Notamacropus eugenii: one gene and its partner. The protein of the gene in region 1 binds, or shares a complex with, the protein of each later gene. Links are inferred from orthologs where the notes say so. Each region holds a gene or a part of one and is shown in the gene's direction. Other genes may lie near its edges. The genes, in order: WASHC1 and WASHC3.

Evidence for each region.
Region 2: WASHC1 (region 1) and WASHC3 share a complex: the UniProt entries of both Homo sapiens proteins name them as parts of the WASH core complex. The link is inferred for Notamacropus eugenii from reciprocal best matches to the Homo sapiens genes WASHC1 and WASHC3.

Annotation. Positions count from the first base shown.
Region 1 is NC_092874.1:203,308,471-203,316,234, reverse strand, and holds the start of WASHC1 (WASH complex subunit 1), read left to right. Parts: upstream 1-4,713; 5' UTR 4,714-4,780; coding exon 4,781-4,847; exon of another isoform or gene 4,848-5,151; intron 5,152-5,234; exon of another isoform or gene 5,235-5,869; intron 5,870-6,124; exon of another isoform or gene 6,125-6,187; coding exon 6,188-6,341; intron 6,342-7,764. UniProt on the Homo sapiens protein: Acts as a component of the WASH core complex that functions as a nucleation-promoting factor (NPF) at the surface of endosomes, where it recruits and activates the Arp2/3 complex to induce actin polymerization, playing a key role in the fission of tubules that serve as transport intermediates during endosome sorting.
Region 2 is NC_092874.1:284,999,468-285,006,629, reverse strand, and holds the start of WASHC3 (WASH complex subunit 3), read left to right. Parts: upstream 1-4,017; 5' UTR 4,018-4,182; coding exon 4,183-4,233; intron 4,234-4,812; exon of another isoform or gene 4,813-5,188; coding exon of another isoform or gene 5,189-5,215; intron 5,216-6,814; coding exon 6,815-6,913; intron 6,914-7,162. UniProt on the Homo sapiens protein: Acts as a component of the WASH core complex that functions as a nucleation-promoting factor (NPF) at the surface of endosomes, where it recruits and activates the Arp2/3 complex to induce actin polymerization, playing a key role in the fission of tubules that serve as transport intermediates during endosome sorting.

The DNA of each region.
Region 1 (7,764 bases):
AGCAGCATCTATTTGTGGAGCCCTGGGCCTTGGGGGAATCTAGCAGCTGATCTGGATCTCAGCCCTAAGAGGAGGTTCTGTGATGGAGCTGATAGAGGCTCTGGAGAGGGAATCCTACTTGCAAGTCCAGGGCAGAAAAGAGCGCTTGTTGCTCCCAGACCACAGTGTAGGTCAGGAGAAGAGTAAATTCCTCTCCTTTGATTGTGCCACCTTGGAGGAACTGAGAACTTACAGGTCCCTAGAGTATACCCTCCACTTGACAAAGGATTCAAAAGACAAGTAATTGGCTGGGAAAATGCCCAAAAAAGGGGAAAAAATAAGATTATAGAAAGTTCTTTTCTTGGTGAAAAGATATTTTATTTAAAAGAAGGCAAGGGGGAAGGGGATAGGAGAGGGAAGGTAATAAAAGGGACAGCATATTGGGGAAAAAGATAATCAGAAGCAAACACTATTGTGGGAGGACAGGTTAAGGGAGAGAATGGAATAAATGAAGGATAGGATCAGACAGAGAGAAATGTGGTTAGTCTTTTTCAACATAACTATTATGGAAGTGCTTTGCATTGTTACACATGTATGACGTATAATGAATTACTTATTTTCTCAATGTGGGAGGGGAGGGAGGGAGAGAATATGGAACTCAAAGCTTTAAGAATGAATGTTAAAAATTGTTTTAGCATGCAAGTGGAAATTAAGCTATACAGGCAATGGAGTGTAGCAATCTATTTTACCCTACAGGAAAATAGAGGGAAAGGGGGATGGAAGAGCAGGGTGAGTAGTAGAAGGGAGACAGACTAGAGGAAGGAGTGGATAGGGTGCATGCTGTCCTGGGGTGGAGGGTAGGGAGAGATGGGGAGAAAATTTTGAATTCAAATTCTTATGGAAGCGAATACTAAGAACTGAAAAATAAATAAATTATATATTAGAGAAAAAAATTCTCTCTGAGCATGTTTCCTCTTCATCCATAAAAGAGATAAAAACATTTGCATTACCCCTAACTGGGTTCTTGTGAAGAAAGCACTTTATAAACTGTAAAATACTACCCAAATGTGAACTATTACTCCTCTGTGAACAAGACCCCCTCCCTAGAATCTCCAGGTTCTCCATGTCACCCTCACCCCCCTTTCCTTTACCCTATGCTTCAGTCTTTTTTCTGTGTTAAGCAGCTCATCTGTCCTTGTCTACCATTCTGATGCTGTCCATTCCTATAGTTTTCCTTCTTCCCAGGGCATTGTTGCTTGGGAGCAAACAGAGCCTGAGTTAATCCATTCTAGAGATTAATCCCACTGCCCTGCTTTCCTGGCTTCCACACAAATGGGATTTAGGTATTCTAGATGCCATTCTGGGAGAAGAGAGTACTGAGGGGAAAAGTAGGGAAAAGGGTACCCCAGGTCAATGCAAGTACAATAATAGTCCATAATTTCATACCATCACTATTACCAAAAAACAACTGCTGGCATTTATTAGAGAGCTGCAAAACAAAATATGTGAAATTCCAGGAAGAAGGTTTTTACCTACTTGTTGAAAAGTGGGTTTTGATAATGATGACACAGGCCTTAGCAACTAGGAAAGGCACAGCCCCAAGAATGTATATTGTATGAAGTGTATCCCCATGCTATGGGGGTATTGTGAAGAGGGGAGCCAGGTACAAGGCTTGGGGCTAAGAGAAGTTCTTGAAGTGCTCTGCGCTTAGAAATCAGTGCTTTCTTTATGAGATCATAGGGTTTGGAGCTAAGAGGGGGAGGGGAACACTTCAAGATCTAGTTCAATCATCTTATTTTATAATGAGGTGTTTTATAAAATTTATAAGGAAAATGAGACCTGTAGAGATTAAGTGATATGCCCAAGGTCATAGAAGTAGTAATAGAAGCAAGATTCAAACTTAGATCCTCTTACTTCAAATCCCCTCCAGGATCAAAAATGAAATTCTGTTTGGCTTTTAAAGACTATGTTAACAGAATTTTACTGTACCAGTCTCTAACCTGGGAATGGCAGAATGAGAAACAGAGCAAATTGGAGATACACATGCCAGCAATCAAGTAGCAGTCAAGTAGATGGTAGGCGAGCTCTTCATGCTAGAATATAGGAAAAAAAAATTTTCAACTTTTTATTTTTTAATTAATTTTTAAAATTATTTTGTTTTCAGAGTTCTACAATCACTTCCATATATCTTATATTTTTTCCCTCCCTCCCTCTCCTTCTTCACTCCCTCCCTGAGAGGGCATACAATTTTATACAGGTTCTACACAAACATTCCTATTAAATACATTTTCACCTTAGTCATGTTGCATAGAAGAATTAAAATGAATGGGAGAAATCATAAAACAAAACAAAACATAATACAAAAGAAACTGGTGTGCTTCATTCTCCAATGCAATTCCATAGTTCTTTCTCTGGATGTGGAAGACATTTTACCTCAAGAATTGATTGGAAATTTTTTAAGTCCTTGCATTGCAATGAAGTTCTAAGTCTACCAGAAAATATCCTTGCACGCTGTGGTTGTTGTTGTGTATAAAGTTCTCCTGGTTCTGCTCTTTTCACTCAGTATCAGTTCATATAAATCTTTCCAGGCCTCTCTGAAGTCTTCCTGTTCATCATTTCTTATAGCACAATAGTATTCCATTACATTCATATACCATAATTTATTCAGCCATTCCCCAGTTGATGGGCATCCCCTTGATTTCCAGTTTTTGGCCACCACAAAGAGAGCTGCTATAAATATTTTTGTACATGTGGGACCTGGGGATACTGTCCTAGAAGCGATATTGCTGGGTCAAAGGATATACACATTTTTGTGGTACTTCTGGCATAGTTCCAGATTGCTCTGCAGAATGGATGGATCAGCTCACAGCTCCACCAACAATGAATGAGTGTTCCAACTCTCCCACATCTTCTCCAACAATTATCATCTTCCTGTTTTGTCATGTTAGACAATCTGGTAGGTGTGATGTGGTACAGGAAAAAATTTTATATGTAGACCACAATTGGGGCGGAAGAGAGGAAGGAGGATTACAACACAATCATTTCTAGGTCCTGCGCAGTTTTCCATGGTAAATTCCCAAATGCGGGACAATACAGGTGCTCTCCAGCCCTGTGAGAACAGTTCTTATCTCAAATGTTGGAGGTTCTCATTACCTGGAGGGGCTCAGAACCAGAGTTCTGTGACAGGAACAGAGTTTACAGTCTGTGATTCAATTCACTTAAAGTACACAAGGATAACCGTGTGGAAAGCATCAGCGTCACTGACAGCTTTAAGCTGCATCATGAGTCTCTTGACTAGCAAGCCGGAATCTGCTAGGAAAATGGGAGCTCTGAGAAACCCAAACGATCAGTATATTCATGACACATCATGTCGATTAATATGAGAATCATATGTCCCCTTACGCCTCTTACGTCCTGGTCTCTTCCTACTTTCCCATTCTTCTTACACCTTGCTCCCCCACGGCCCCGCCCCCACCAGGTACCCTGTAACCCTCCTCCAACCTGTGCCAACTCTATGAATTCCCTCTGAGTGCCCCCACATCTGGCACTTTCTCCGCTCCCCTCTGGCTCCTGGGCTCCCTGGTTTTGTCACATCTCCAAGTCCCACCCTTCCCAGCGCTCCTTTATCTTAGAGCCAGCCCTATTAGGCTATCTCCAATTTATCTTCCATAAATACATTTCAGTAACCTTGCAGGAATATACATTTGCGTAGTTGCTTGCATTTGTTTCTCCCTCTGGACTTTGGGGCTGTTCTTTGCCCGTTTTTGAACCCCCGGAACTTCGCAGGCCTGGCACGTGGCTCACCCGGAGGCCTCCCATCTCCAACCCCAGGGGTCCTGGGAGGCCCCCTCTTCAGCCTCAGCTTCCTAGAGACCCCAGGACCCTAGCCGGCAGCCGGCGCCTCGGGGGCTTGTGCTCTGTCACGGCTGGTTCCCGGCACAGCAGACAAGGGGTTCTTAACCGAGGACTCTGTGGCTTCCTTACAATCACTTCTCCTCGGTTAACCCGGGGTTGCCCCGCGGATGGAGCAGGAGGGCCCCGCCCCGCTCCGGGCTCCGGGCCCGGGCGCTCAGCCTGTCTACACCGGCGTCCCCGGCCGCGTCACATGGGGGCATTCGGGGAGGGGTCTGTCGGCGTCACCCAACGGCCCGAAGCGTCTAAGGTACACAAGCGTTAAGGGCCGGGGCAGCAGGCAGCGCGTGCCCGCAGGCCCGCGGACTGACCTCGGGCGGCCGGTCGGGACACACCCCGGGGATCCGGGATTCCCCCGATCAGCTATTCTAACTTAAGGTGGCGTGTCAGAGCGGGTCCACGGACGGCCGCCTGACCAGCCCGTTATACCATGGTGGGGGGCTTCCTACCCTCAGATCTGTGACTTAAGGAGGCTGGGGGTCGCTAGTTTCTTTGGCCGTTCTTGCTCCGGGGGCTCCCCACGAAGGGCTGCCTCGGGCCGGTGGCCCCGGGGGTTGAGCAGGGGGAGCCGGGGAAGGGGCAGTCATCGAAGGCAGGACGGATACCAGGGTAGGGAGACGATTGGACGCGGGAAAGGAGGAGGAAGAGGGCGACAGAGACTCGTGAGGCCCCGGGGCTGCTCAGGAGTCCGGCTCGCGGGGAGGGAGGCTCCCAGGCTCACTCGGGGAGCGACAGCCGGGCGCTAGGACCCGGCAGCTGAGGGAGGAGGAGGGAGGCGGAAACGAAGGACGTCAGGCTCCCGCCGGGCGGCTGGCCCAGGCCCGGGGCGTCCAGGTGCAGAGGAGAGGCCGCGCGCCTGGGCCAAGCTGGGGGGGGCAGGGGCGGTTGAATGGGTCAGAGGCCCGGGGGCGGGAAGAAGATTTCTGCGTGGGGAGAGAAGCACGCGAGAGGTCGGAGTACGCAGCGACTCCTCCGGTCCCCCAAAGCAGGGACAGGCCGGAGGGGCCGAGAGCTGGGCCCTGAGGAGGCGGGGAGGGGCCGTCCTATCAGGGATCCCCCACCGCCCCCGCTCCCGGAAGCCCGCCCCACGCGCCGTCCCGGCTTTCACGTGACCCCGCAAACACCTCCCCCCCACCCTGTCGCGGCACGTTCACTGTGATCCTGCCAGGCCTGAGACTACGGTGTCCTCAGACGGCCAACCCCACCCCTACCTTGGAACTCGCCGGTTGGGAGTGCCCCTACTGGTCCGGCTCTAGTGACGTAATGTGCTGTGGGGACCCCCACCCCCCTTCTACCCTCTTGCGGCTGGAGCTTTAAGCCCCCGGGGGGGCGGGGCGGGAGGCAGAACGAGGCTAGGGGGCGGCTGGGGGTGGGGAGCCCAGGCTTCCGCGTCCGCAGGCCCTGCTCGGTGGAGGAGTGGGGGCTTGGAGGGGCCCGAGCCCAGGCAGCCTCTTGCACTTTTACCGGCCCCCTCCCGCCTCGTTCCTTCCGCAGTGTGGGGTAGGGGCCCCGCGGGGTCACCCGGCATGGTCACCCCGAGGCAGGCCCCCCTGATTGCCATCTCCCATCCCAGCCCCCCTGCGTCGCAGACTAGGGGCCGCGGGGCCTGGCGCCGGGCTGCCGGTGTCCTCCTCGCCCCTTTCGGGGCCAGGGCCGTGATTAGTCCTATTTATAGGGGCTCTCGCCTTAGTATTCCGCCCGGCACTTGTCTGGCCCATCACACCCGCACCGTCTGCGGGGTGACGGCGCTTCCGTGGCCCCAGGGAGCCGACTTCATTAAGCCAAGTATAAATAGACTCTGCCGTCGCCTGGCAGTTGGCTCGTGCTTCTCCTCGCCCCCTCCTCCACCTCCACCTCCACCCGGGCCTGCACTCGGCCTACTTTGCTGTGCCGGCCTGGGTCACCTGGGCCACCTGAGCCACCTGAACCGCACCTGGTTAGTCTGCCAGGGGCTCGGCTTTGATTCCGGCAGCCAAAGGTCAAGCGCGGTGAAGTCCCAGGAGCATGGGGCTGCCCTCTCCTTCCACCTGCCCCTCCGTTCTCTCCCCACAGCCTTCCCCGCTCGGGCTTTCTCTTGTGTGCTCCAGCCCCATTCCTCCCCCCTTTTCACTCCTCGGTCCACCTCCTCTCCAGCCTCTCCCTCTCTGCAGCACCCCCTAACCCACAGTACCCCCACACTCCTCCGCTGTGCAAGAAAGGTATCAGATCCACCGCGTTTGCCCTCCTCCCACAGGTGCGTACGCGGCCAGGGACTTCCGAGGCGCTGGGCACGTCTGACTTTGCCCCTCTCCCGCAGGCACCATGAGCACCATGACGCAGACACACTACCCAGAGGGCCAGGCCTACTCCGTGCCCTTGATCCAGCCCGATCTCCGAAGAGAAGAGGCCATCCAGCAGGTGGCAGATGCCTTACAGTACCTCCGTGAGGTCTCTGGTGACATCTTCAGCAGGTGGGCATGGCTCAGGGCACAGTGGACACAGGCACATACCAAGGAAACTCATTTCCCCAAGGAGGGGAGGACGCTAGAACCTGGGAGGGAGAGGTTTCAAAGGAAAGCTTTGCTCACCACCTGATTTAAAAAAAACCTGGGGGTATCAGAACAAGGGTACTTGAAGGAACCCTTGAAGAAAGGGAAAGACTCTATAAGACAAAGGTGTGGAGAGAGTATATTCCAGGCATGAGAGAAAACCTCTGTAAAGGCATAGAGATAGGAGATCAGATAGTCCATATGGAGAACAATAAGTAGGCCGGTTAGGCAGGACTGTAGAGTGTGTGATAAAAGTAATGTGCCATAAGCCTGAGAAAGTAGGCTAGAGTCAGGATGTAAAAGGTTTTAAACGCCAAACAGGAGCCTGTATTTAGTCACAGAGGCAAGAGGGAGTGCTGAGTTTCTTGAGCAGGGGATGATAAGGTCATAGCTGTCTGTGCCTAAGGAATTACTTTGGCAGCTGTGTGGAGGATGGGGATGGCTTGAAGTCAGGAAGACAATAGGAGGCTGTTGTGTATCCAGGTAAGAGGTGATGAGGACCTAAACTAGGCTAAGGGGATGGATATGAGATATGTTTGACAACTGATTGGATAATGAGATTGAGGTCCACTAAAACTCACAAATCTTTTTCAGAAAAACTACTGTCCGACCACGGTTCCTTTATCTTATACTTTTGAAGTTGGGGTGGGTAGGGGTTTTAACCTAAGTGTAAGGCTTTCTGTTTATCTGTCAAATTTCATATTATTAGATGAAGCTCAATATTCTAACCTGGAAAGATCCTTTTGAATCCAAACTTTGGCATTCAATATATTAGCTATCTTCCTGAGCCTTGTGTCATATGAAAATTTGACAAGCATGCCACCTGCGCCTTTCTTTGTCATTGATAAAAATGTCCAGCAGTACAGGGACAAGCATAGGTCCCTGGGGCACGTCACTGGAGATAAGCTACCAAGCTGACATCGAACCATTGCCATTCAACCAGTTCTGAGTCACTGTAATTGCATCTAGCCCATATCGCTCATCTTTTCCATAAGAACAGCATGATGTGTTATCAAATGATTTGCTTAAAATCTGGGCAGATTATGTCTACAGTATTTCCTGAACCATTAGCTTAGTTACTCTTTCAGGAAGGAAAATAAGGTCAGTGTGTTCACCGTCCATCTCTTTAGTAATCAATTTTAGAATTTTTCCCTGAATTGGAGTCAAGTTCACAGCCCCGCAGTTTGCAGACTCTGTTCCCTGTCTCAAAAATTAGGACATTTGTTCTTCTCTAGTCAGTCAGCCAACAAGCATTTATTAAGCACCTTCTTTGTGCTGGGCATTGGGGATACACAGACTAAAGTTAAACTTGCATTGTCAGGGGAGACACTGTGATCATAGCTGG
Region 2 (7,162 bases), about 82 Mb from region 1:
CTTTCAAAAGCAGAATTAGCCACATGGAAAAGGAGGTTCAAAAGCTCACTGAGGAAAATAGTTCTTTCAAAATTAGAATGGAACAGATGGAAGCCAATGACTTTATGAGAAACCAAGAAATCACAAAACAAAACCAAAAGAATGAAAAAATGGAAGATAATGTGAAATATCTCATTGGAAAAACAACTGACCTGGAAAAGAGATCCAGGACAGACAATTTAAAAATTATGGGCCTACCTGAAAGCCATGATCAAAAAAAGAGCCTAGACATCATCTTTCATGAAATTATCAAGGAAAACTGCCCTGAGATTCTAGAACCAAAGGACAAAATAAGTATTCAAGGAATCCACAGATCACTGCCTGAAAGAGATCCAAAAAGAGAAACTCCTAGGAACATTGTGACCAAATTCCAGAGTTCCCAGGTCAAGGAGAAAATATTGCAAGCATCTAGAAAGAAACAATTCAAGTATTGTGGAAATACAATCAGGATAACACAAGATCTAGCAGCTTCTACATTAAAGGATCGAAGGGCATGGAATAGGATATTCCAGAAGTCAAAGGAACTAGGACTAAAACCAAGAATCACCTACCCAGCAAACCTGAGTATAATACTTCAGGGGAAAATTGGTCTTTCAATGAAATAGAGGACTTTCAAGCATTCTTGATGAAAAGACCAGAGTTGAAAAGAAAATTTGACTTTCAAACACAAGAATGAAAAGAAGCATGAAAAAGTAAATAGCAAAGAGAAGTCATAAGGGACTTTACTAAAGTTGAACTGTTTACATTCCTACATGGAAAGACAATATTTGTAACTCTTGAAACTATTCAGTATCTGGGTACTGGGTGGGATTACACACACACATGCACACGCACACGCACACACACATAGAGACAGAGTGCACAGAGTGAATGGAAGAGGATGGGATCATATCTTAAAAAAATGAAATCAAGCAGTGAGAGAGAAATATATTGGGAGGAGAAAGGGAGAAACGGAATGGGGCAAATTATCTCTCATAAAAGAGGCAAGCAAAAGACTTATTAGTGGAGGGATAAAGAGGGGAGGTGAGAGAAAAACATGAAGTTTACTCTCATCACATTCCACTAAAGGAAGGAATAAAATGCACACTCATTTTGGTATGAAAACCTATCTTACAATACAGGAAAGTGGGGGATAAGGGGATAAGCAGGGTGGGGGGGATGATGGAAGGGAAGACATGGGGAGGAGGGAGCAATTTGAGGTCAACACTCATGGGGAGGGACAGGATCAAAAGAGAGAACAGAAGTAATGGGGGACAGGATAGGATGGAGGGAAATATAGTTAGTTCTTATTATGGAAGTCATTTGCAAAACTACACAGATTTGGCCTATATTGAATTGCTTGCCTTCCAAAGGGAAAGGGTGGGGAGGGAGGGAGGAAGAGAAGTTGGAACTCAAAGTTTTAGGAACAACTGTCGAGTACTGTTCTTGCCACTAGGAAATAAGAAATACAGGTAAAGGGGTATAGGATAGAGACAAGGGCAGAGAGGGATGATAAAAGAGAGGGCAGATTGGCAGACGGGCAATTAGAATGCTCGGTGTTTTGGGGTGGGGGGAGGGGACAAAAGGGGAGAAAATTTGGAACCCAAAATTTTGTGAAAATGAATGTTAAAAGTTAAATAAATAAAGAAAGAAAGAAGGAAAAAAAATAAATTAAATAAATAAAGTCATTGTTGACCTCTCAAAAGTTGCCTTTCCTTTTAGAAAAGCTGACCGTAGAACACATGATAGCAGGCCCTCCTCTGTATGTAGGGGCACTTGGTTCTACACCAGTTTGATCTTTCATGGTTCTTTCCAAAAAGAAACTCATCACAACTAGATGGTAGAGATGGTAGACGCTCTACCAAAGGATCCAGTCTCTGGTCTGAAATGGTACATCGTCTTCTCCAGACAGGGGAGAGGTTAGTGGTGCAATCATCTTACCCCTTCTTTGTGGGAGGCAAAAAATACATTTACACTGTGGTACAAGCAATCACGGGAATCACAGTTTCCAGCTGTCCTTTGGTCACTGACCAAAAGGCTTTGGGCAATTTCCCTGGTGACTGCTTTGAAATCTACCTATGCAATAGTGTCAACTTCACGTCATATAAAAACATATATACTGTGATGGGAACATATTCATCACTATAGTGTTTAGTCATCTGAATTCATCAAAAGATAAAAGAACCATCATGTGTGCTGTTCTTGTCTTTATAGTTTTAGAGAGCACATGACAACTTACAAGGCCTCACAACAATCCTATAAAACAAATGGCACCATTACTCACATTTTACAGATTAGGAAACTGAGGCTGAGAGTAATTGCCTTGCCCAGGATCACACCACAAAAATGTGGCTATGGCAGAATCAAAACTCAGGTCTCCCCTTCTCCATCCACTTTGCCATTCAGTTGCCCTAAGGAGACAGCCTAGCTCTGTGTCACTATGCCCAGCATGGCCTTGGATTGTACTTCTGAAAAACCCTTCATAATAGGCTTCACACAGTCTGTGGATCAGAGATGCTGAAGTTTGCTCATGGCCTTAATAATTCCACTTAACTTTCTTTTTTCCCTTGAACCCAGTTTTCCTACGAACAGGCTGATGTTCATTCAAGGGGGAGTTTAAGCAAGGGCCCTCTGGATACTTCTAGTACTGAAATGTTGTTTCATATCCCAGAGAAAAGGGATGTCTCTTGCCACCTTCACACCCAATCACACTAGTTACATGGGCAGCTAGATGGCACAGAATAGAGTGCTGGGCTTGGAATCAGGAAGACTCATCTCATGAGTTCAAATCCTGTCTCAGACACTGACCAGCTCTGTGACCCTGGTCAAATCACTTAACCCTGTCTGCCTCAGTTACTCACCTGTAAAATGAGGGTGAGAAGGAAATGGCAAACCTCCTAGTATCTTTGCCAAGAAAACCCCAAATAGCTCAAACAGTCAGATGTAACTAACAACAATACACATTAATTGCATTCAGAAACCCGTGCAGAGTAGTTATCACTTCTATTCTCAAAGCTACAAAGATCTAGCACCAGCAGTTTCCATTATTCAGAGCACAGATCAACTGTGCTCTGAATAATAACTAACTCCAATTAAATATCAGTCCACTATGAATCCATATATTAGGCAATCTCCCTGGGCCTCAGTTTTCTCTATGGTAATGTAATGGAATTTGAACTAGATTGCCTTTGGGGTTACTCAGCTCTGGAGCCATGACTTTATACACAGGTATGGCTGACTACATGGTCAGTGGACCTGAGATATGGAAAACTAGCTACCTAAGCTCCCTCCCACCTCTGGAGTCAAGCCCCTAAGTACAGGTGTGGTTACCTGGCCACCTGAACTCCTTCCCTACTCTGGAGGCATGATCCTAAATGCAGGTGTGGCTACCTGGTCACTTCTCAGCTCTAGAGTCAAGCCCCTAAGTACAGGTGTGGTTACCTGGCCACCTGAACTCCTTCCCTACTCTGGAGGCATGATCCTAAATGCAGGTGTGGCTACCTGGTCACTTCTCAGCTCTAGAGTCAAGCCCCTAAGTACAGGTGTGGTTACCTGGCCACCTCTTAGGTTTGGAGTTGAGTCTAAAAATGTGTGCGGTCACATGGTTACCTGGAGCCAGCTGTCAGCCCAGGACTAAGTGTGGCTACCTGGTCACTTCTCAGCTCTAGAGTCAAGCCCCTAAGTACAGGCGTCGTCACCTGGCCACCTGCGGCCACCTCTCAGCTCTGATCCTAAATTCACACGTGCTTACCTGGCCACGTGATCTCTCTTTCTAGCTCTGAGACTGACTTTAGTTGTATCCAAGTTTGACTGCAGCTCTCTTTCCGAGAACTGTTCTTGAGCATGCGCCATCAACTTTCCCAGTAGGAGAGTAGAGGAAAAACTACAATTCCCAGAAGGCTGTGCGGAAGGGACCAGGGGAGGTTGGTTTCTTCCGCAGACTCAGAGCCAATGGGAGGCTCTGGAACAAAACTACGACTCCCAAAGGGCCTTGCGAGCGGGGCTCAGTTGGTCTTCTCCGCAAGCGCAGACACCTCGGCTGTTAGCTGAGTCCACTTCCGGGGGGAAAGGGCCGTGGTACCTCAGACTGAGGCTGCCAGTCGGGACCCGCTCCCGTTGTCCGGGCTGGGAAAGCAGGGGGCTTGGGGCCCGCTCGCCGGGGCCATGGACGAGGACGGGCTGCCTCTGATGGGGTCGGGCATAGACCTGACCAAGGTTGGTAGGGGAGGAGGGTCGCTTCCGGGGCTCCCGGGGTCACGGAGACCCTTCCTCTAGCTTGACGGAGGAGGAAACTGAGGCCCAGAGAGAACACTTGGAGTCCGCGTGACCGTAGGCAAGTCACTTCTGCTCTCTGAATCGCCCTTGCCCCATCTGTAAAATGAGGGGGTCAGGCTCCGAGGGCCCGGCTCTAGATCCGTGATCCTGGGATCCTGCCTCAGTTTCCCCATCTGTAAAATGGGGGGTCAGACTCCAAGGTCCCAGCTCTAGATCCGTGATCCTGAGAATTTTTCTGTGCCTCGGTTTCCCCATCTGTAAAATGAGGGGGTCAGGCTCCGAGGGCCCGGCTCTAGATCCGTGATCCTGGGATCCTGCCTCAGTTTCCCCATCTGTAAAATGGGGGGTCAGACTCCAAGGTCCCAGCTCTAGATCCGTGATCCTGAGAATTTTTCTGTGCCTCGGTTTCCCCATCTGTAAAATGAGGGGGTCAGGCTCCGAGGGCCCGGCTCTAGATCCGTGATCCTGGGATCCTGCCTCAGTTTCCCCATCTGTAAAATGGGGGGGTCAGACTCCAAGGTCCCAGCTCTAGATCCGTGATCCTGAGAATTTTTCTGTGCCTCGGTTTCCCCATCTGTAAAATGAGGGGGTCAGGCTCCGAGGGCCCGGCTCTAGATCCACGATCCTGAGAATCTTTCTGTGCCTCGGTTTCCCCATCTGTCATCCAGAAGGAACCTTAGAGGGGGCCATCCAGTCCAATAAGAAAACTGAATCCTACAGAAAACGCAAGTGACTTGCTGACGTCCCACCCGAGCTGGCCTTCTGACCCCCGCCCTGTGCTCCTTGTGTGACCAGGAGTCACAGCTCCTAGACTGAAAGGCAGAGGAGCACAGCTGGCCCGTGCCTCCCTTCTGTGCAGTGTTTAGTGGCACGCCTGAGGTCACAGACAGAGGAGATGCGCATCCAGGCCCTTGGACTCCAGGTCTGTGTCCTGCCAGGGACCAGCGACCACTTGGGCCACATGGTGGTGGTGGAACCACACCCTTCCTTCCTCTGCCCTTCTCCTCCTTCAGAACGCAAGAAGCTGTTTTGTTTTATTCCCTGGTCAGTGGGAGGCACACAGCTGGGTTCCACCGGCCAGCCTCCCAGACATGGCCCCAGAGCTTGGGACAGGCCTGGAGGGAGGCACTGAATACGCTGGAGGATTTTCTTTACTTGTTAGTTGGTTGCTAAGTGGCGTGGTCCTTCCTGCTTAAAGCCTAGGTGTTTGAGAAGATTGTGTTCCTTGGCCATTTTTTCTGATTGTTTTTCATTAATTCTGATGTTTAATTCAACCCTCTCCTTTAACATAGGTGGAAACTGAGTCCGGAAAAGTGACTAACCCAAGCTTACGCAACCACAGAACTAAGCCTCCAGGCTCAAACAAGACCCTCCACCTCTCCCCTCCAGACATTTTCTTTGGCTGTTCCCCATTCCAGGAACGTTCTCCCTCTTTCATTCTAGGTTTTTCTACCAGGCACCATTATTTATTATTCCTCTTCATTCCTATTTATCCTGTAGGTAACTTGCTCTGCATGTTTTTGTTCCCCGCTTTAGTTTATAAATTCCTGGAGGACAGCGACTGACTTTTGCCTCCTTTTGTAACCCCATTACTTAGCATAGCCTGGCACATAATAGGTACTTAATAAATGTTTATTGATTGATTGAAACCCAGATCCTCTTAATTCCAAATTGAGGATCTTTTCTGGGCACTAAAATGTCACCAAGTGTCATTGATCCCAAGCCAACACCTTAAATTACAAATAATCAAACTCCTGAATGGGTTATAAAAAGAGGTCATCCTGTCTATCTTTGAATGGCTCCTAGAAGAGTAATTCTTTCCCAGAATTCCCCATTTCTGCAGGTTGCAGAGATAAGTATTCACTACTTAGACCTGTCTCACCTCATAATCCATTTTAATTTTCTCATTAAAAAAAAATATTTTTTTTTTCAATGCAGATTCTCCGTACTCTGAATCTTGTGTCTCTCGGTCAACTTCAGACTTTGCCATAGAGCTGCATGGTGTAGTGGAAGAAATCCTGGGTTCAGGGCTCAAAGTCTGGCCTTTTCATTTCTTTGTGCCCTTGGATGAGATGCTTCCTGGCTCTGAACTGTCTTTAATTGTTAGGGAGCATCTTGTATTGATCCAAGATCTGTCTTTACTCTTTGCGCCTAGTTTGGTTCCATAAGCTAGGCCAAGAAAGGAGAATTCTTTTTCCCTTTATTAACCCTTTAGTGCTTAAAGATAGCTCTCCTAGGATTTGTAGGAAAGGATCTAAGAAGTAATCTGTTCCAGCCTCCTCATTTTATACATAAGGAAACTGAGACCCCAAGAGGGGTAGTTCCTGGCCCAAAATGACACAGGTAGTGAGTTGCAAAGCCCAAACTGGAACCCAGGCCCTCTGACTCCAAAATGAGTGTTCCTGGCAGTGCTCTGAATCTCACACAAAGTACTGAACCGTTTTGAGCCTAGAAGCCCTTTCTCCTGCTCGAATTATTTTGTGTTTGTATGTTAATTATGTTGTGTTTTTACTTAATGCAGGTGCCAGCAATTCAACAGAAAAGGACTGTTGCATTTCTAAACCAGTTTGTGGTTCATACTGTACAATTCCTCAACCGCTTTTCTACGGTTTGTGAAGAGGTAGGTTGTTTGGTGTTTGTTCTTAGAGTGGCAGAGAAATGAGGGTGAATTTTTTTGTTGGAAAAGTGATTCTGGCATCAGGGCCAGTACTCATTTGTTCTGACCTCCAATTCACCTGAATTTGATTCTTGTTATTTGTAATTTTCTAGACATTTTACATGATTTTGTTTCTTCCTTCTGCTAGTTTAGAGTTTTGGATATTTTTAAGCAGTGGCCAGGCTTTCTGTGGTGGGTGGGAACAGTAAAATC